Schizosaccharomyces pombe: one gene and its partners. Changing the gene in region 2 together with the main gene of any one other region gives a genetic interaction. Each region holds a gene or a part of one and is shown on either strand. Other genes may lie near its edges.

Region 1 (5,474 bases), on a different chromosome or scaffold from region 2:
GTATAATGAATCGTTGCCATCGATTCGACCCGGGTTCGATTCCCGGCCAAAGCATTATTTTTTACCAAAACAATTTTTGGATTTATTTTGATTTGTTTGAATTCAAGCACGTGGTACTCTGGATACCTAAAATATGTACAACTATAGATTCCAGTAATATATATATTGCAAATGACTGAACTCAATTCTTCAGGCGCTATACTGTGAATGCAATGTTTCTACGATTTTTTGCCATGAAAAATAACGATGCTTATTTACCACGATTCAAAGTAACTAAGCGTTTGGTTATATTCGCTTGGAATACCAATCTACATTACAATGAGGAGGCAATAATTGCTATGATATAAAGCTATTGTCAGAACCAAAAAGTCCTGAGTTTATGGGAAAGAGTGAGCTTACTAGTTATGTAAGATATTACACTCTCTATCACAAAAAAAAGCAAGTATGCGGTAACAATTCTTCGATTCCATGACTCTTTTTAATTGGCAAGTTGTTGTGCTTCTTCCGTCGGTCTAAAACAACTAAATTCTTATTTATTGACATCTTTAAGACCAAAATAGTCGCTTGTCAAATTCGTTACTTCCAAGTGCCACCATGTGCTTGTTACTTAAGAAAAATTTAGACAGTCACACGCTCCTATTTATTAAGGAAGTGTAGTCAGGTTAGCGAGAAAAAGTACATTTTTTCTGTTTTTTTTTATTTTTCTTAATTTTCTTTAATAATTTTTTTTAATTGTAAAGGAGTTGTTAAGATGGAGTCTGAATCTGTTCCCACCGTTCCTCAAACCACTCGTCCCGGTCCTCGATGCTATAACTGTGGTGAAAACGGTCATCAAGCTCGTGAGTGCACCAAGGGTTCAATCTGCTACAATTGCAATCAGACCGGTCACAAGGCTAGCGAATGCACTGAGCCTCAACAGGAAAAAACTTGCTATGCTTGTGGTACCGCCGGACATCTCGTTCGTGATTGCCCCAGCAGCCCTAACCCCCGTCAAGGTGCGGAATGTTACAAGTGTGGTCGTGTTGGTCACATTGCTAGAGACTGTCGTACAAATGGTCAACAAAGTGGCGGACGATTTGGTGGTCATCGCTCCAACATGAATTGCTATGCTTGTGGCTCTTATGGCCATCAAGCCCGTGATTGCACTATGGGCGTGAAATGCTACTCTTGTGGTAAGATTGGACACCGCAGCTTTGAATGTCAACAAGCTTCAGATGGTCAACTTTGTTACAAGTGTAATCAACCAGGCCACATCGCCGTCAATTGCACCTCTCCTGTAATTGAGGCATAAGTGCTTGCTATTTATAACCCTTTGTCGTGGTATGAAGATATTTTTTCTTTTTCTTGTCCGATTTATTCAAATTTGGCAAGTGGTCATATTCTTACAAATCCCTTGAGCGATCTGCGCATTTAGTTATATAGAAAGCATAATTTTACATCCTTCTCTTCGTCCTTATTTTTTCGCACACTTCTGAATTCATTTTTGCTTCGGATCCTTAAGGATATTTGTACTGAAGCCTGAGATGCACCACCTCATTTCTCTCCTGTTTTCTCGTCACCGCTAAAAGATGGATGTTGATAGATTAAATCCTTTTTGTTTCAGTTTATTTTTACTGTTGTAGTGGCATTTTTTTCCTATTATTTTCAATTCACGAGCTTGAAATAAAAAAATTTGGAATATGGGAATTCTATAAATGATAGAAATTCCTTGGTCCATTTGGATGATTTGTTTTTTTTAGTGCCATTATTTAATGGAACTTTTGGTTTTATATGACAACTCACTATCAATTTCATTTACGAAATGGGTTTTGGCGTTTTCGTATTTTTTGAGTAACTTAATTTACCTTATGTGTTTGTACAGTAAATGTTAATGCTCTGACTTATTAACAACTTCTCTACTTCTTAATCTCTCATGGTATCTGTATAACAATATTTACAAAAGGGTTCTGGGTCATTTGCCTAATTAATATTATTTTTTCCTTGCATTGCTTACTCTGCTTTTCAAAAATGAACTGTAATTGAAAACGGGTGAACGATAAATGTAACAGTTGTCATAGACAAAAAAAAATTTATTAACTTCAATTTTACTTTCATACAAATTTGACATCGAATTTGTCTATTACATAAAATCGTAGTATATTAATCCAAAATTTTATTGTTCACATAACTCAGCCAACTGCGCTCGAAACAAACGAAATAAACTTCTTGCAAATTCACCTTGAGAATGGTAAATACTCTTGAACGCTTTCTCTTCATCCCTAGCCAATTGAACATGCTCCGATAACCAAGAGGGGAATTTTTGACCAGGCCTGCTTATATATCCCACCCCTAAACGATCTTTCATAACATCAAATTTGTATCTACTTACAGGTTCATAAAAGTCAATGATTGCTTCTAAGCATTGATCACATATATTGGTAGCAACAGAAGGCCGGTAAAATGAGGTAATGCAATCTTTAAACTTAGTTAACTTCGGTATTCTATTGCAAAGCACACAACGGCCTACAAGATTGCATGCTAGCTCTATATATGTAGACTCATCGCATGACTGTGTTCCATCTCCTGTTTGGATGATCGAGGAGGCTAACGAAGAAGTATCAGAATGAATTGTCTTTGCTGCATAACTTTGATAACTTGGATCAAGAAAAATTGGAATGATTGTAGGGATATCGGTAAATTTGGCCACAGCACTTGTGTTTATAGACTCAGAGCAAGTTACAGCCGAATTTGGATTTTTTTTATGCACCTTAAGTAATCGTTTCCAAAATGAAACATTTCGAGGGCTGAGAATCTTTTTAAAACGTAAACATGTATTGGGGAGGTCATGGATAAGGGTATGTCGTTGTTTTCTATATGAAAATGCAAAGGGTAACTTCTCTATGTATGAAGCATCATAGCAATATGAAAAAATCAGCTGTAAAATTTCATCCGGACAATCCAAAATTTTTGCATACTTAGGACTCTCAGATGAGTATCTATAATATAAATTTGACTTAGGTGAAGCAACAGTTAAATTTAATGAAGAGTCAAGATTATCGCTACTTGGTATTTTTCTGAAAGGCAGGACTTGGGTAGTATACTCGGCATAATCATTAATCAATTCTAGAAGATTTCTACTTAGTGAGCATTTATCAAGTAGACCTTCATAATCAATCATTGCTGAAGCATGCGAATCTCCATCAACAACCAACGTATTCCAGACACCATTCCAATTGTCTTCTTCATCAAAATTAGAACAGATCGAAACCAATCGCTTCATGGCTCTTACTCTTGCTAAACAATGCACAAATTCATCAAATGTTTGAGGCTTGAAATATGAGCTTCTTATTTTTTTGCGAGTATCGATTAGTATTCTTAAAAACGATTCATCTTGATCCAAGTGCTCATTCACGCTGGTATTCATATAGCATGTATGCGTTTTGCAATTTTGAAATGAAAATTGAAGCATTTAGTTTGATTAAGTAGTAGTACCCATATACAGTTCGTTGATGGTGATGTTGGCTGACTGCAAGCTCAATTTGCCGGTTATCAACATTGCATAATTATACATCACATGGTTACTTACTCATACCGGCCTGAGAATTAGGTGAATAAAAACCTATATAGAAAACAGAAGTTTTATAATAAAAACTAGTGGTATACTTCGCATATTATACTAATGTGGATCGAATTTAATTCTTTGTGTGAAAGACGTAACATTGGTGTTATCAGATCAGATAAGACAAATTGATCAAACCCCCCGGCGGGGGGGGGGAAACTTGGTGCTTTGAATTTCATTATTGAGATTTTTGCTTTGCAAATTTAAAGAATTGTGAATGAAAGAGTTTTATTTATTATTAACGACGTGTAGCTGAATTGCATAACTTTAAGCTTGATTTAAAAATTTGCTATTTAAAGTTGATATAGTTCGAGTAAAAAAAATAAACTAACAAAGGTACCTCAAAATTTTACATACTTTACTATTGCTAGTAAAAATGACAAGCATAAACACCTACGGTTTATAAAGTCAACAATATATATATATAAGATAAGGATAAGTAATTAAACTTCTACATCGCTGAGACGTACGCAGTTGAAACGTTTTAACATAATCAGATCATTGAAAGTAAATATTTTACTCTTTATTTTGCTCATATATGAAAAAGGCGATTTTAAAATCGGATGCAAATTTTTTTTAAATCGAGTAGATATTTCAGCATCATTGAATAAAATTCTGAAACATCCATTCATACTTTTCAACATTTAATTATAAAAAAGTTTGGTTCGTAATCACTGAAACGTAGAAGCAGGATAAATTTAAATTATCCTTGAAGCTTTTTTAAAGAAATAAGAAAAATATCCTATTTGGGATAATTAGACGGCTCAAACACTAAGGATTAAAGTTTATTACAATTAGCATTTGTAGTATACAGAATGCTATATGTTAAGGAAAAAGAACGAAATTAAATGAATTTGGAGGTCATGAGGCACGCAACATTCGATCAGGTTAAATAAACAATAAGGAATAAGAAGAACTCCCTATAAAAATAAATATTTCGGTTTCCTTTATTTACGTTGTTACAGTGAAAAATGAAGAATTTGCAACAAAAAAAAACTTTAACTTAGTACTTTTTAAAACGTGATATTCTCATCGTCATCAACCTCTAAACTTTGTAGCCTAGCATGTACGAAATCTGGTGCAGAGGGAACGCGTTGAGTTTCTGAGTCTTTTAGGTCAGTCATTTGAGCCTCTTCAGCGACGTTGTTAGTATCATGGTCCGTAAGGGCGGTAGTTAAATCTGCGGGTTGATCAGGTGGTAACTCAAAACCATCCTCAGTAGAATAAAGTATTGCTTGAATACGCTCCAACATATTTTCCATTGACATAGGAGAAGTGGTCAAATGAGTTTGTACAAGTATTTCAATTTCTCGAAGCTTGTTAAAATAGAAATCACGTTCTCTCTCCAAACCAAACATCGTCTCATTAACTTCGTACAACTGTGTTTCAAGACTAGTGATTTGTTGTTGTGCTTGCTTTGCCCTTAACACTGCCGCAGTATTTGCAGTCGAAGACACGTTATTGTTGTTTGCTGATGACTTAGTCATTGAAGGTGTAGAACTACCAGAAGAAACCTGACGGCGACGAGAAGGGCCAGTTGCTCCTGCAGAGGAATTCATAACACGAGTGTTAGCAGGTCCTCTATTCCCCCGGCGTGCCAGCGCATCATAATCGCCCCCAGGATAATATTGATCCCAAAAACGTTTGGCCCATTGAACGAACTCCAGATTATCTTGCATTTTACAACGCGATAGTCTCTCAGGGTCTACAACTTTATCGATACCCTTCTTCAAGAATACCTGTTGAAGAACTTTCCAATTGTTTATATATTGATACTCATTATTGCATTCAAAATTCACCTTTTTTAGTGGTATGTCTTGATATATGGAGTCAAAAATCTGTATCATAGCGTAACCTTTTCCACAATCCTCAATCC
Region 2 (4,590 bases):
TGCTATACTCATGTTTTGCCTGCAGGACTTTCTGATATAGTTGGAAAAATGCCTGTAATGTTATTTTGCCCTAATTGTCTTGATTTGTACGCTCCTTCTAGTTCTCGATACAAAAACATAGATGGCTCTTTTTTTGGTGCTACTTTTCCTCATCTGTTTTTTGAAAGCTATCCTGAACTGAATCCTAAGCGCTCAATCCCTTGTGGTAAAATTTATCAGCCTAGAATTTATGGCTTTAAAGTCAGCGAATTAAGTAAAACAGGACCTCGAATGCAATGGCTTCGTATGTACTTGGAAGATAGTGGTAGCGATTCGGAGTCTGAAAGTGATTAAAAACGATGCTTCATCTTATTTATGCCATAACCTAATGGTTCGTTCCTCTAAGCCTTAATAATACTTTTATTCCTATAAAATATCCTTGAAGTTTCTTTTCCGTCAAATTCAATTATCTAGTTGATGTCTCATTGCTTTGCATATAAGAAAAAACAGAATTTGGTATTTTTTAATATAATGTCCGCGAGGCATTTGAATTAGTAAATTCACACTAAAGAGCTTGATGAACTTCCAAAGGATTTAATATTGGTTACCTTTAAAAGTTGGGTAAAAAAAAGTTCCTTATTTCTTGTTGATTGATAATATACTTTGTTCATCAATTGAAGTAGCAGACTAATCATACATGTAAATTAATACAAGACCAAAAAATAAGGGTGCGCAAGTGTAACCAAAGGTGTGCTTCCTCAATGAATCCGATAATTCTTAACCATTGCATACATACCTTACAACTTAAATACATTTAATTGACAATAATGAAAAAAATTAAATAAAAAAACAAACAAACAAAACTGCTTTTGTATTAGAGAGAAAAATAGATGTTAAGAGAAATCGAAGTTTAGCTAAATACATTTTACATCTTCTTTGCGCGTCTTCTCATTTTGCGTTGACGTTCCCTCTCCATGCGCTTTTTTTGATCAGACTCAGAAAGCTTAGAAATATCGCCAGAGGATTTAACTTTTTTCTTGGCGGCCTTAGCGGCTGAAGCATGAACAACTTGCTCAAAGGCGAGTTTACGGGCAGAGGTAAGTTTCTTCGAAACTTCTGGTCGCCATTGGAATTTTGGACAACTATCAGCTACCAGCAACAAGGAATTAAACAATGCACTTCCCGTAGCATTGCTCAAACCAGAAAGGGATGTGATTTTTTTAATTCTGATTGAAGCTTCGATACGAGGCTTCGTAACATAATCCTTTTCGGTAGCAGGAGGGACTGAAGGTTGATCAGTAACGATGAAATACTCAAGGTTTTCAATACACTCGTTAATTGAAGACATAAACTCGGGAATTTCGAAAATAGCTTGACTACACTCATTGTTCTCAGACATTAAAACATGAGTTTCCGGTAAGTAAGGAGAGGAAGAAATGCGGGTAAAGCTTAAGTCGTAACGTATTTCACGAAGAATGCGCATACAGTCTTTATGAACAATGGCGAAAACAAAACGCTCAGCCTTCAAGTTCTGGTCTGCAAGAGTTAAATCGAATTGAAAACGGTCAGCAACAGGTAAAACAGAAGACATAACGTTTCCCAGGAGGATTTCAACGATTTGATTAAGAGAGTAGGCTAACAAATCTTGACGAGGAAAAAGCTGAAGTGTTGTATACACATTCTTCACGTTGAGACGTCCAGTAAGATAGGAGCTAAACTCGGTAGGAGAGTCATAAATGATTGGAGAACTGTTAGGACCTGGTCCATATTGTGCAAACTGTTGGCGAAAGCTAGACTGTAAGGAACCATACCAGCGAGAAGCGATTTTTTGGTTTTTCTTCTTTTGCGTGATAAAAGAAAAAACATAAAGGAAAAAACAAGCAAGAATAACAAATTCAAGACGGAAATCTCTCCAATCGACATGCTTGAACATTCCTGGATTCTCCAACTCGGGATTCATATTGTAATCCTCTTCGTATTCATCTTCCTCATCAGCCAGTACTCCTTTAGCTAGTGCAAAAACTAGAAACAAAAGCTTTTTATTAATCATGGTTCCTCCGCTTGTAAATTTACTGACTTTCGTGAAAGAAAAAAGGGCACTGGTTGTACGAAGTGAGATTGAACGTGGTGAAATAAGTAACGAACGAGACAAGCCGGTTCCTAGAGTGGGAAGATTAACTAGTGTATATAGATAGTTTAAAATAAGTCGGTAACCAGAACATGTCGCGATGGTGTAGTTGGGAGCATGACAGACTGAAGATCTGTTGGTCATCGGTTCGATCCCGGTTCGTGACACTTTTTTTGACGTGGAGAAAACACTTTGTACTAGTTATATCCAACATAATTTTGAGGTTTTTTCTTTTTACTTATTTTTATTTTTCTAGTTGCTATATGTGAAGCAAAATTAGATAGCTAACGGATGCTCAAGAATATTGTACTGGCACTTCAGCTTGTTATTGCAAAAGTTACAAAAACAGTCTGCAAAGACAAACAAGCATAGAAGCTCAGTTGGTCTAAATGTATATTACTAGATCGGTTCTGTAATTATTGGTGTTTTATTAGCAATGAATGGTGCTTTCAACTGAATATATCCGACAGAGAAACTATATGGCGTTACAATTTTCAAAGGTAGTAGTTTATCTATTTGGTAAATGATAGTTGTACGAACTGCTACGCATTTACTCAAAATCTTAGTTACATTCATGCGTTCTATATAAAAGAAAGTCATTTTGTACTTGCTTGTTTACGTATACGATCGGTTAATCTCAACAAAGCAAATAAAAGGAAGCTAGTCACCCTGTTGTACTTTATACCTAGGACATATTTTTTTTTTCAAACATGTAACATACCGTTACTGAAGAATGTCATAAGCTTAACGCTAGCTAAATTAAGCTTGTATCAAAGTTGCGAGGGATATTGAGATCTATCGTTATTAGATCATTATAGATAAAAAGATATAAATGAGAAATCCTCCATACCTCAACAATAATTGTTTATTGGTAAAAAAATATTATTCCTATCCACTTTTTGGTTAAGCAGAAAATCTGGCAGAATTTTGTACATGCCGCTTTGCCTATCATTGGCTGCTAAATAAATTCCTTGAGCTCGTTTGTTCGATTATTTACTACTACCACACGATACCCTAACGTGAGATTTTCTCTACTAGCGATATCAAAACTTTCGCAAACTTTTTCCAACTCCCCTCAACACACGATTTTTATTATATAGATTTATTTATCAAGATGTCGGTGAAATACTTTGAACCTGAGGAGATTGTGGAGCACAATAATTCCAAAGACATGTACATGGTCATTAATGGAAAAGTTTACGACGTTAGTAACTTTGCTGATGATCATCCTGGAGGCTTAGATATAATGTTGGACTATGCAGGTAAATAATTCGACAAAACTTTTGTAGAAGTAAACACCATATTATGTTGGAGACTGCTATGCTCAAAAGCGATAGTATACTTTTAATCGCTATCGTTTCATTCATCAGTTCTTCACTTGTGTGCCTTCTTGATTAAAACATTGTATACGGCTTTTTAAACATGTCCACTAACTATTTGTTTTAGGCCAGGACGCCACTAAGGCCTATCAGGACATTGGACACTCTATTGCTGCAGATGAGTTACTAGAAGAGATGTATATTGGTGATTTAAAACCCGGAACTGAGGAGAGACTCAAAGAATTAAAGAAACCTCGTTCATTTGATAATGATACGCCTCCGTAAGAAAATGATTTGTGTACGATGGTTGTTTCATGCTAACAGAACAGATTGCCTCTATTAATCGCATTAATTGTCCTGCCAGCCATAGCAGTAATTGTGTTTGTTAAGCTTAACAAATAAACTTCGAAGGCTTGCCTATTTATTTTCCTAATCTTTATACCTTCTTTTGTTTTTCGCGATGTTAGTATCACTCAATATTATTATGGATAGCAATTGTTTTCAAGGCTTCTAAAGAAACAAAATAAACGTTAACTTAGAAAAATATATTTCTTAAATGTCTTCCTTCAGTAAGAGAGCTCTTAAAAACAATGAGTTCAGCTCGTAACATGTAATTAACTCATGGAGATATTAAACAAACCAAAAAAGTATAACAAAAAGATTTAGCTAATAGTAAAGAGGGAAGTATGTAATCAGAAGTGGAATATAACTAATGGAAAAATTAGTTCTATTGGGCTTATGAAGGACTTCCAGTAATATTCGGTTGGACTTTAGATAAATTGATTACCATCTTTCCTTTGATTTCTTTATCACTCAGCTTAATGTTGTTAATATCATCAATCAAAACACCTAGTTTCCTTATTATAAACTCGGTTTCCTGCTCGGTAGGTTTAGCAACATCGTATTTTGGATCTAAATTCAATGAGTCGATTTGATCTAATACCTCCCTATCGCAATCATTATGTTAATATAGTTTCTACTGTATAAAAAGAATTTATCAAAAGCTTACTCATAAATGTTGTCCCGAGGGTCTCGCTGAGGTGCTTCGGTTCTCAATCGTAAAGAAAAGACGTCAATGAATTTATTTCTATTTTCAGTTAACAAAGAAACAGATACCAAAGGCTTCATACTTTGCGACATCGTAAACCTTAGACTCCCATTCTT
Region 3 (6,081 bases), on a different chromosome or scaffold from region 2:
TTTGTATAACTAAAACAAGGTATTCGAATTAATATTCATCCAACTGATATCCGTGAAGAAATACTTTACTGTGGCACATTACGTTGTACTACATTAGCGTATATCTTTCACCTTACTCCTAATCTTTGACTCCGTATTTGTCAGCTACGCAGTTTAGTATCTGTTTTAAGGGTACGTAAAGCTGCGGTGAGTTTTCCTTGTGATCTATTATATTGCAATACGCAAGTAATATAAGTAGCAACTGAGTATAGGTATCGTATTAACTAGGTTATAATGTTACCTATCACTGATATGGCTTATAACTGAACTCAGGAATGAGGTTCAGTTGTTCTCAATTTATAACCATTTGAAACAGCAAGAATCATAACTGACAGTTATTCACCTTATTACAACTAATATTATATATGTCTTGATAACTTATCATGTAAAGCTGATAGAGCAAATAGAACATTATGAACATGTGGCATATAGTGATTCATAACGTAGTACATTATAGCGTAGTTTAGTATAACTGACAGTATTCAATAAGCAACTTTGCGCAGTTGTACATAGTGTACCATAAGCGGAGTTCCTTAAATTATTCAAAAAGACAGTCACAATCGAAAGCCAGGCTAAACTTTTTGTCGGCGATTTCTAGCCATCTCCAAATCACCAACATGGGAATTACCAGAGACTCACGACACAAGCGCTCTGCTACCGGTGCTAAGCGTGCTCAGTACCGCAAGAAGAGAAAATTCGAGTTGGGTCGTCAACCTTCCAACACTCGTATTGGACCTAAGCGTATTCACGAGGTCCGTGTTCGTGGTGGAAATAAGAAGTTCCGTGCCCTTCGTCTTGACTCTGGTAACTTCTCTTGGGGCTCTGAGGGTGTTTCCAAGAAGACTCGTATTATTCAAGTTGCCTATCACCCTTCTAACAACGAGTTGGTTCGTACCAACACTTTAACCAAGTCAGCTATTGTCCAAATTGATGCTGCTCCTTTCCGTGTCTGGTATGAAACCCATTACGGTATCTTGATGGGAAGCAAGGGAAAGAAGGCCACTTCAACCCCTAATCCCAAATCCAAGCATGTTCAACGTAAGCATAGCGCTCGTCTTGGCGATTCTAAGGTTGACTCCGCTTTGGAAACTCAGTTTGCTGCTGGCCGTTTGTATGCTGTTGTATCCTCTCGTCCTGGTCAATCTGGACGTTGTGATGGTTACATTCTTGAGGGAGAGGAGTTACATTTCTACCTTCGTCGTATGGCCCCCAAGAAGTAAAAAAGTTGTTTTAGTCTTCTTAATGCAAAAATGTGCCTATATACAAACTTTTTAACTTTTTGTGATTATTTATAGTACAATTGTATATGCATGGCTAGTAATACTTGTGATTCCTATGTAATTTATAATTAAAACAGCATGAACTGTAAAACTTTTTTAGTAGTCATCGTCAAAAAGCCATTTCATTGCTCATATAGACTAGCAAAGTTGTATGAGTATTACTGGGTTTGAAAAATTATATGCAAATTACTAAAAGATTTTCCAAGATTTCAGTATAAAGTATCAGAAAAAAGTACGAGCTTTTCAAGTCCTTACTGATTTAATTAATAGAGACTTTTATGACTGAGACCCTCTTTTCTAAAGTCATTATTTCTATGATTTCAGCAAGTTGTTTTGTTAATGTCCTTATCGCGTTTTCGTAAATTTTAAAACCTGGCAAAGAATATCAAAAATTATAAGTCATTTTCTCTTAAAATTATAAAACTTAAATTGGACAACTAATAAAAAATTTACTTTAAATTTGTTTACGTATGGGGTATGCGTATACCTCTCTGACTAAACCTGCTCTACTTGCCATTTACCAAGTACAGGTATAAACGAAGGTAAAAAAAATGGATGGAGACGAAGCTAGTTTAGTAGCCAACTTCTGCGCAATAACTAATTCAACACCTGAAAAAGCTCAAGAGTACTTGAGCGTTGCAGATGGCGATTTATCGACTGCAATCACATTGTTCTTTGAAAGTGGAGGCGTTACCGATGTGCAATCGAGCTATATAGAAGCACCGAGTCAGACTGAGCCTGTAGAAGAAATTCGTGCGCCTATTGCACCTACCAGAGAGGTTTTGGTAGACCCGTTAGCTGATATGTCAGCAGGAACTTCTATTATGGGCAACAACTTTGGATTCGGGGGATTTCCAAGAATGAATCGAAGACAAAGAAGGCGTATGGGTATTTTTGATCAATCTCCCTCTCAAATCCCTTTTCCATCAAGTAATACAGAAGACTCGTCAGAAGAGTCTGACAGTTCAAGTAGAGCGTCACGCCTTGCAAAATTGTTTCGACCGCCGTATGATATAATTTCCAATCTCAGCCTTGATGAAGCTCGAATAGAAGCATCTTCTCAGAAGCGGTGGATCCTTGTCAATTTACAGACATCAACGTCGTTTGAATGTCAGGTACTTAACCGTGATTTATGGAAAGACGAGTCAGTAAAAGAGGTGATTCGTGCACACTTTTTATTTCTTCAGCTTTTGGATGACGAAGAGCCTGGCATGGAGTTTAAAAGGTTTTACCCCGTTCGTTCTACGCCTCACATTGCTATCCTTGATCCAAGGACCGGAGAGCGCGTTAAGGAATGGAGCAAGTCGTTTACGCCAGCTGATTTTGTCATTGCTCTGAACGATTTTCTAGAAGGGTGTACCTTGGATGAAACCAGTGGTCGTAAAAACCCTTTGGGAGCAAAATCACAAAAGCCAGTCGAAGCGATGTCTGAAGATGAGCAAATGCACAAAGCAATTGCAGCTTCCCTAGGAAATGGAAACTCGACAACTGAATCTCAAGGCGAAAGCTCTTCACAGCAAGCAGAAAGTCATGGGGTGGCCGATGATACTGTTCATAAAATCGATTCAGCTGAATGTGATGCCGAAGAACCATCTCCAGGACCCAATGTCACAAGAATCCAAATTCGTATGCCCAATGGAGCACGTTTCATTCGTAGGTTTTCTTTGACCGACCCAGTAAGTAAAGTGTATGCGTATGTGAAAGGAGTTGCCGAAGGTGCAGATAAGCAACCGTTTTCTCTTACATTTCAGAGAAAAAGTCTTTGGACGTCTTTGGATTCTACTATCAAGGAAGCAGGGATCCAAAACACAGCTTTGCAATTTGAATTCCAATGATAAAAAGTTTGATGAGTGTTTTGCTTGCTTTTCTATCCCAAAAATAGATATTTTCCTTGTGGTTAAGTATAATGAGATACATCCTAATGAAATTCCACCGTTTATTTATTCATTACATAAAAAATGCTTTGGCATGCCAGTTAAGTAATAAACCATATATTAGCTGTAGAATTGACTAAACGTATATTTATATTACGCATCTACGAATACTACTAGTGCACGAAGTGATAAGTCCTTTAAAATATCCAGATAAATATTAATTGTTTAATATTTAAGTGCACTTTTTCTGTAGAAAGATCTCATACTCAAGATACAGACTCAAATATCCCTGTAAACATATCAGCCTTCGCGGATACCGACTTTACACGGAGCCATATGGCTGTTCCATATACGAAGTTCCAGGTAAACTAACACTATCAATCCTTTTTCTTTGTAGAATTCAATTGTATTTATTAATATATAATATGGAAAAACATCAATACCGGGATTTACAACTTATTGGACAAGGAAGTTTTGGATCAGTCTTTCGAGCTCAAGATGTTGAATCATCCAAGATTGTAGCACTTAAAGTTGTAGATTTAGATGCTACAAAGGACCAGATTGAGACTTTGACCCAAGAAATTAACTTTCTGATCGATCTGAATTCGGTTCACATTACGAAATATTATGCATCATTCGTTGATGGATTTCGATTGTGGATAACTATGGAATATTGCGATGGAGGAAGTTGTTTAGACCTTTTGAAGCTTTCAGGAACGTTCAGTGAACGTGTTATCGCCGAAGTTATGAGGCAGGTATTAGAGGCCCTTGTTTATCTACATGGTCAAGGTAAAATGCATCGTGATATTAAAGCTGCCAACATTTTAACTATGAAAGATGGACTAGTTAAGCTTGCTGACTTTGGCGTATCAGGTCAGTTGGAGAGCTTGCGTGACAAAAATGATGACTTCGTTGGTACGCCTTTTTGGATGGCTCCTGAAGTTGTAAAGCAGACAGGATACAATTACAAAGCGGATATTTGGTCATTGGGAATTACGGCTTACGAATTGGCTACTGGGGAGCCTCCATATTCTGGCATACATCCGATGAAAGTTCTTTTACTAATACCAAAGCATTCCCCTCCGTCATTAGAAAGAAGTAAGTTTTCACGTGCATTCTGCGATTTTGTTAGCAACTGTTTGAAAAAGAACCCAAAGGATAGAGCTACCGCTGAATATTTGTCGAAACACAAGTTCATCAAAAAGTATTGTCCCAACACATCTGTGAAGGAAGTTGTAGCTTCTTATGCGAAATGGAAAGAATCCGAGCTATTACCGGAAGCTACCCCCTATAATAGTACCATGGGTAATTCTGCAAACACCATTGATGAAGTTGTTTGGGATTTTGGAACAGTTCGGCGATAAGCAAACGTTCACTTTTTTTCTTGTCTTTTTTGATCGCCTTGTATTGCTATCTTACATCAGTTAAAAAATACGGTTTGGAAGCAATGTATTTATACAAGTTTTTATTAACAAAAATTCTCATGTTAAGGCTTCTTACCCATTGAGCCGACTGGCTTTTTTTTCCGAGTTTAACAACTACTGTTCATATGTTTTTTCTTCTCTTAGACCTTGATTTAATACATTCAATATCGATTTGTGATAGCATCGCAGCCCTATATATGACAGATTAACCTAATATTCGTTTGATTGCGACGAGTACCAAGATATAGAAGACGCACATCTTTTTATCCCTTCTGTACTTGATATGGTTTGGGACTTTAAGCAATCGTTTTATATTTGATATCCTGATTTCTTTTATATCTTCGTTCCGACTAGTCTCAATATTAGGACAATACAACACCTGCTATGAGCTTTTACTAAGTGATGGAGTTACAGAGGTTAACAGTATTGGAAAACATATATTTATGCAATCTCCCGTAATTCCTTCATCCTGTCATGATACCGCTGATGTTTACCTGAGTGTCTCCAAATCGACTGTACAACTTTATGAGTTACTGCCATAAGTTGTAGCTGTTTTTACTTTACAATTCCATTATATCAACCATTTCTATATCTGGATAGCCCGAATCAGGTAGGAATTGAAACCTTTGAAAATATAGTATGCAAAATCAGATTTAAAAAAATACCGTTTTGTCATGATTGATAGCTTTTTGTCAACCCAATAATCAAGAATACTAAATCTGTAACCCTAATTTCCAGTTACGAAAGAACATGTGCAAGTTATACAAGGTATATTGTTTATTTACTGTAAACTTTGCTGTGTGGAAATGAGCTGGTGTTCTTTGATCATATAGAGAATAGGATAAATAGATTTGGATTCTAGTTGATCAAATGCAAAGAGATTGCAAAATTTATAAATTGATTAGAAGCATATTGAATTAAATCACAGTAACTAATTCCCATAAGACTGAATGAATTTGTCCGCAATTTGAGATAATAACATGCATATAGGTTGAAAAAGCATGTAGTTATATAATAGCTGAGTTTTTGGTTTCTTTAGCAGTATAATAGAGAAAAAATAAGTAATGAACTTATCCAAGTCTGAAATTCTGCACTGGATCAGGAAGCCAGTTGGTCAATCAATCGAAACTGATTATTCAATAACAGCACAATTTCTATAATTTATTTCATCTCAAAAAATGAAGCATTCGCAAGAAAAACTTGTAATAATTATCGTTATTTATAAAAATACCAAATAAGCTGTGCAAGCGCTTAGAAAAGTACATGGAAATATTAAAGGTAAATAAGGAACGGCTGAACGGAAAAAAACTTGTAAATTTATGCATTTACAGTTGTATGAAAAACAAAAAGAATTGTTTATAATTAAGAAAAATCACTAGCTTTTCCACCAATTAACAATCCAACGATCAATCCAAATAATCCCAAGACACTTCCGAAAATTTCGACAACAAGAACTTTTACGAA
Region 4 (4,819 bases), on a different chromosome or scaffold from region 2:
AGCATTGGGAGACTGAGCACCCTTATAAGAAGAAAGACTAGGGGAAGATACAGATGCTAAATCAGGACTGGCAAAAGTGGAAAGGGGATTGGTAAATGCGTTTTGATCAGCAAATGAAGAAACGGGAGCTTGTAAAGGGGTATTGTTAATAGAGCTGCTAGCTTCAGAAGTCGGGATAGCAGTCTGTCCAACCAAAACTTGATGTTGTCTTGCAGATTGATCAGGTAGTAACTTGGAGGAAGCTGAACCTTGGAGAATTGAGGAAGAAGAAACATTATCCTTGGAGGCTGAAGCAACAGAAGACTTTTGCTCAAAGAGCTCTCGTTGAGACGAAGTTTTTTCTTGAGTTTCCTTTGAATGATCAGGTAGGGTTAGGAGTTTCTGCAAGTCGAGATAAGCAAGATCAATTGAAGCAGGATTAGCAGAAGAAAAATTTCCAGTTGCATTCAAAGGGGCAGAAAAGGTATTGCTAACTTCTTCCTCTTTAACTTGCTGCAAAGTCGAAATTTTTTCGGGATTCTGTTGCTGCACGTTCTTTTCCTGCTTATTGGAATTGGAAGAACCTGAAGGTTGAGAAACAAATCCATAATAGCCTTCTGAAAGCATACTAGAAGGCTCTAAATCTAAAAAGTATGGATTTGTGAATACATTTAATTGCTCTGCGAGATCATCCTTTGAAAAATCGTCAGAGACAGGAACATCATCGAACTTAAGATTCAAGTGATTGATAGCGCTATTAGGAGTAAAATCCATTTGTCAAAAGCTTTATCTTGAGACTCTTGGTCTCTTAAAATTAACTGAAAATCAATTGTTAGCATGGAATTTCGCTAAAAAACTGAACTCTCCAACAATAAGCTTACCTAAGACTTAACGGCAAAATTATCGTTACTAATCAAATTATATCTCACAAAGGTAAAAAAAACACACTCAACCGTTCGCAATAAACGAGCTAAACCACCAAATTTAGTGACTCGATGAATGGCGACGCTACGTTGGTAATCGTAGAAAATTTGATGACTGAGCCAGCACGTCTGCGATCGGGATCATGCAGCGTTGAGATAATAATGAGATTACAATCTCCGCGTTAAAAATCTGATGTAGTGTAGCTGTACGTAGATCCTCATAAAACTATCCTATATTAAGATAGTGCACCGTTAATTATTATAGAAGTTGTTACCGTAGTAGTTTAAACCTGCTAGAAAAACGTTATTATATAAGTCACTAACAAATTGCTATTTAGGAAAAAAATCCTAAAGAAATCAGTCGTATGCTATTAATGAGAGTTAAAAAGCAGTCTTAAGTTCTTGCTTTTTGTGTAAATGATCGGAAGTTTTATCTTATATTGAAAATTCTAAAGCCATTAGAATATTCGCTCATTTTATATATCAATGGCCCAGTTGTAATAGTCAGTCGAATAGTTAATTGAATAAACTACTTTAGATCTACATGCGCAATAAGTTTTAAGTTTGGGGTTTTTACTGAACATTTTTCATCCCCAACAACGGTTCATATATTGAAACAATAGTGCGTCAGACAATTCGCAATTTTTTTTTTCTAAAAACAGTATATTCTCTACTTTTCAGTCAGTTAATATATTCCGGAACAAAGTCATATTCTTCTTAAAACTTATTCATACTAGTGCTGCTTGTGTAAAAAAAGAATCAAATACAAAACATGTTACTTGACAGATCCTCTATAATAGAATATGGAAACGAAATAGAAATGAGAATGATTGAAGTTCAAGCTTAAAGTCAGTAATAGATTTGCTTTTTGCATAAGAAAAAAATCAGTGGAAAACGCTTTGAAATCCTTAAAGCATTTTTTGTATTTGCGTAAGACATTGTCTGCTATATGCTTTCAGAGGAGTTTTAGAAATCCAATAGCAGAAATTCATCATTAATGTTAAAGGTAGCTGAATACAAATTAAACAGCGTTAAAATCAAAATCCGATAAACCTTCACGTTCATTCCGTGGTTACATTTGTAGTTCATTTTTGTCAACCATCGCCGTTCTATATACTTGCTAACTATAGTACAATGTGTGCCATCAAAACTTTGAAAATTTAATCCTAATAGTTTAAAACAAATGTTACAGTTTAAGTATTTCAATGTCCAAGACTTCAAATATGGAGTTTTACCTAACTTGCATAGAAACTCGGTATTATAATAAAAGACAATGACGGATTCGGGGTATTAAATGAAGACTTCAGCTGTATAAAAGCTTTTCTGTTATATATCTTAAATTTTGTGGATTCCAAATTAGCTTTCAAATACAAACTGTGCCATTTTACACAACCTCGATCATTCATAAAACAATAATAAACTTGCTCACTTACAAACAAGTCTTAAGAATTGATTTAAGTCAATGTCTGATTGCAAACATATTAACAATCTGTGATAAATTTCTTTTGCCATGTATTTCTAACTTTAGGTTGATGAGTTCAAACCTCCTATGAATCGACGTATATCGTTGTTGATATTTCACATAAACTTGGACTCGCCAATCTTTGTTCATATTTTAATGCTTATTTATTCAGATAATTCCCAGGTGACTAGCAGTTTGAACTAAGCAAGACGTTGTCAACGACTTCAAACATCGCAAGCTTATGGAATAAAAGAAAAAAAATTACATGTTTCTACTCGTAAGTGAAATAAAAATTCCCGGACTCCCATTTACCAATCCTTCGTTTTTTGTATTACCATATACTATCTTTCACGTTTGCATCTAGCATCTAAAACTGTTCACTTCTAAAAACAATTCATTTTAAGAGAAATAATCATTTTTTCTTATTTGAATAAACTCAATTCTTACTGCCTCGTTTCCTTGTTTTTGCAAAAAAAAAAAACATAATCATTGCTATAGGTTTACAACTTCATATCCGTTTCTTTATGTCAATTTATTCTTTTTTACAGAATGGCTACTGTGAAACTTAGTTTTTTACAGCACATCTGTAAGTTAACTGGATTGTCAAGAAGTGGAAGAAAGGATGAGTTGCTTCGAAGAATTGTTGACTCTCCTATTTATCCCACCTCTCGGGTACTTGGTATTGACTTGGGAATCAAAAATTTCTCTTACTGCTTTGCAAGTCAAAATGAAGATTCTAAAGTTATTATCCACAATTGGTCTGTTGAAAATCTAACTGAAAAAAATGGGCTTGATATACAATGGACCGAAGACTTCCAGCCTAGCTCCATGGCTGATCTTTCAATACAACTGTTTAATACATTACACGAAAAATTCAATCCGCATGTCATTCTTATGGAACGCCAGCGTTATCGTTCCGGTATTGCTACGATTCCAGAGTGGACGCTACGAGTAAATATGCTTGAAAGCATGCTGTATGCGTTACACTACGCAGAAAAAAGAAATTCAATCGAACAGAAAATACAATATCCTTTCCTTCTTTCTCTGTCCCCAAAATCTACATACTCGTATTGGGCATCAGTTTTGAATACGAAAGCATCTTTTTCAAAGAAGAAGAGTAGAGTACAAATGGTCAAGGAATTAATAGATGGTCAAAAAATCCTATTTGAAAATGAAGAAGCTCTGTATAAATGGAACAACGGTTCTAGGGTTGAATTTAAAAAGGACGATATGGCAGATTCTGCTTTGATTGCAAGCGGTTGGATGAGATGGCAAGCCCAACTGAAGCATTATAGAAACTTTTGCAAACAGTTTCTGAAACAATAGAAATGAACGATTGCCGTACGAATGTTTAGCCAATTTGTATATTGTAGTTTTATTCAAAGAAAAACTATCGTATATTGCATTTCATGATCCTATAAAAAAGGAAGAAATTAAACTAAATTCATAAAATTAATAATGATAACAAAAGGAATGCAGGCACATGTATCAAAGATCTTCTTTGAGCATTATTCTAAACTTCAACGATGAAAAATAACAAAACATAAAGAACATGAAATGAATTTTTTAAAAAAAATAAGAATGATGACAAACAAAAAAAGGTAATAAGGCCTTAAAAATAGCAACCCGACCTTGCTCATTTCAAAAACCCAAGTTTATATCCTCTATATTTCATGCATACAAAAGCACCAATAACAGCACCGAAAAATGAAATTTTTTATAATAAATTTGTATGAAACGGCTTTGAAGACGTAAAGAAAAAAGTAGAACTTGCAGTGAAGCCACAAAAGTCATAAGAGGACCATGATAGCGTCTGAGATCCTTTAAAAAAAACATAAAAAAACGCAACTCGTGATTGTTTAGTTCCCCAACAGAGTAAACCCTGGATAACACGCATTTACACAAGATTTAATCCCTAAAGTAAAGAAAGACGAGAAAAAATTAGTAGTATAAACACGTGGAAAACACACACACCTTTTGGAAATTGGTACATGATAGCTTTCAGGGAAAATTTAATATAATAAGCAATAGACCGTTTATACAAGGAAGAAAAGTAAACGAACCTAAGGTATAACGAATCATAAACTGTTAACTATAAAAGGTTTTCATTAAATGAAAGTAAGCAAAGGAAACTCAAAAAGAGTAGCGATATATGATAAAAAGGTTATATTAAGCAAATTGTTAATTATTGATCTTCGTTTGGAGGCACCGAAGAGTGTGAAGGTAAGGCTTCATTACCTGGGGTATCATTGCGCATGTTAGGAACAGAATGATGCTCTGCATGAGCAAAGGACCTTCCATGGAAATGTCGCTCTCTTCTCGGTCTTGAATCAACGTTGTATCTTTCTTTGCGGTAATTTCCGGGAGAATGTTCTCGTTGAGGCCTAGATGGACGATAAGAGTTTCGATATCTATTAGAATCGCGGTCACGATAATTATTTCTACGATATCCCCC

What was found.
Region 1: mutations in cyb502 (region 2) and pof14 together harm fitness more than expected from each alone (negative genetic interaction), as found in Schizosaccharomyces pombe (one large-scale study listed by BioGRID).
Region 3: mutations in cyb502 (region 2) and ppk11 together harm fitness more than expected from each alone (negative genetic interaction), as found in Schizosaccharomyces pombe (one large-scale study listed by BioGRID).
Region 4: mutations in cyb502 (region 2) and cce1 together harm fitness more than expected from each alone (negative genetic interaction), as found in Schizosaccharomyces pombe (one large-scale study listed by BioGRID).

What each region holds. Positions count from the first base shown.
Region 1 is NC_003424.3:2,243,760-2,249,233, reverse strand, and holds pof14 (F-box protein Pof14), read right to left. Parts: upstream 3,500-5,474; 5' UTR 3,449-3,499; coding exon 2,153-3,448; 3' UTR 2,106-2,152; downstream 1-2,105. Other genes in the region: byr3 (translational activator, zf-CCHC type zinc finger protein), read left to right, coding at 752-1,291; microtubule plus-end binding protein, EB1 family Mal3, read right to left, coding at 4,612-5,474. UniProt on the Schizosaccharomyces pombe protein: Expression is induced during oxidative stress. Plays an essential, SCF-independent, role in the stress response to hydrogen peroxide for survival, by negatively regulating ergosterol synthesis via direct binding to the squalene synthase erg9.
Region 2 is NC_003423.3:2,574,060-2,578,649, reverse strand, and holds cyb502 (cytochrome b5), read left to right. Parts: upstream 1-3,184; 5' UTR 3,185-3,221; coding exon 3,222-3,369; exon of another isoform or gene 3,370-3,553; coding exon 3,554-3,707; exon of another isoform or gene 3,708-3,755; coding exon 3,756-3,828; 3' UTR 3,829-3,987; downstream 3,988-4,590. Other genes in the region: ckb2 (CK2 family regulatory subunit protein), read left to right, coding at 1-333; SPOM_SPBC2G5.01 (Ca(2+) binding protein), read right to left, coding at 905-2,029; Ragulator-Rag complex subunit Lam1, read right to left, coding at 4,163-4,373, 4,436-4,513, 4,557-4,590.
Region 3 is NC_003424.3:4,281,991-4,288,071, reverse strand, and holds ppk11 (PAK-like kinase Ppk11), read left to right. Parts: upstream 1-3,517; 5' UTR 3,518-3,618; coding exon 3,619-4,557; 3' UTR 4,558-5,581; downstream 5,582-6,081. Other genes in the region: rps801 (40S ribosomal protein eS8), read left to right, coding at 657-1,259; UBX domain protein Ubx2, read left to right, coding at 1,871-3,154; vma16 (V-type ATPase V0 subunit c''), read right to left, coding at 5,980-6,081.
Region 4 is NC_003424.3:4,296,000-4,300,818, reverse strand, and holds cce1 (cruciform cutting endonuclease Cce1), read left to right. Parts: upstream 1-2,913; coding exon 2,914-3,690; 3' UTR 3,691-3,883; downstream 3,884-4,819. Other genes in the region: DNA-binding transcription factor Zip1, read right to left, coding at 1-753; SPOM_SPAC25G10.01 (mRNA splicing or mRNA surveillance facor), read right to left, coding at 4,550-4,819. UniProt on the Schizosaccharomyces pombe protein: Capable of resolving Holliday junctions. Specific for 4-way junctions. Seems to be important for the maintenance of mitochondrial DNA. Cleaves fixed junctions at the point of strand exchange. Cleaves after 5'-CT-3' and 5'-TT-3' sequences.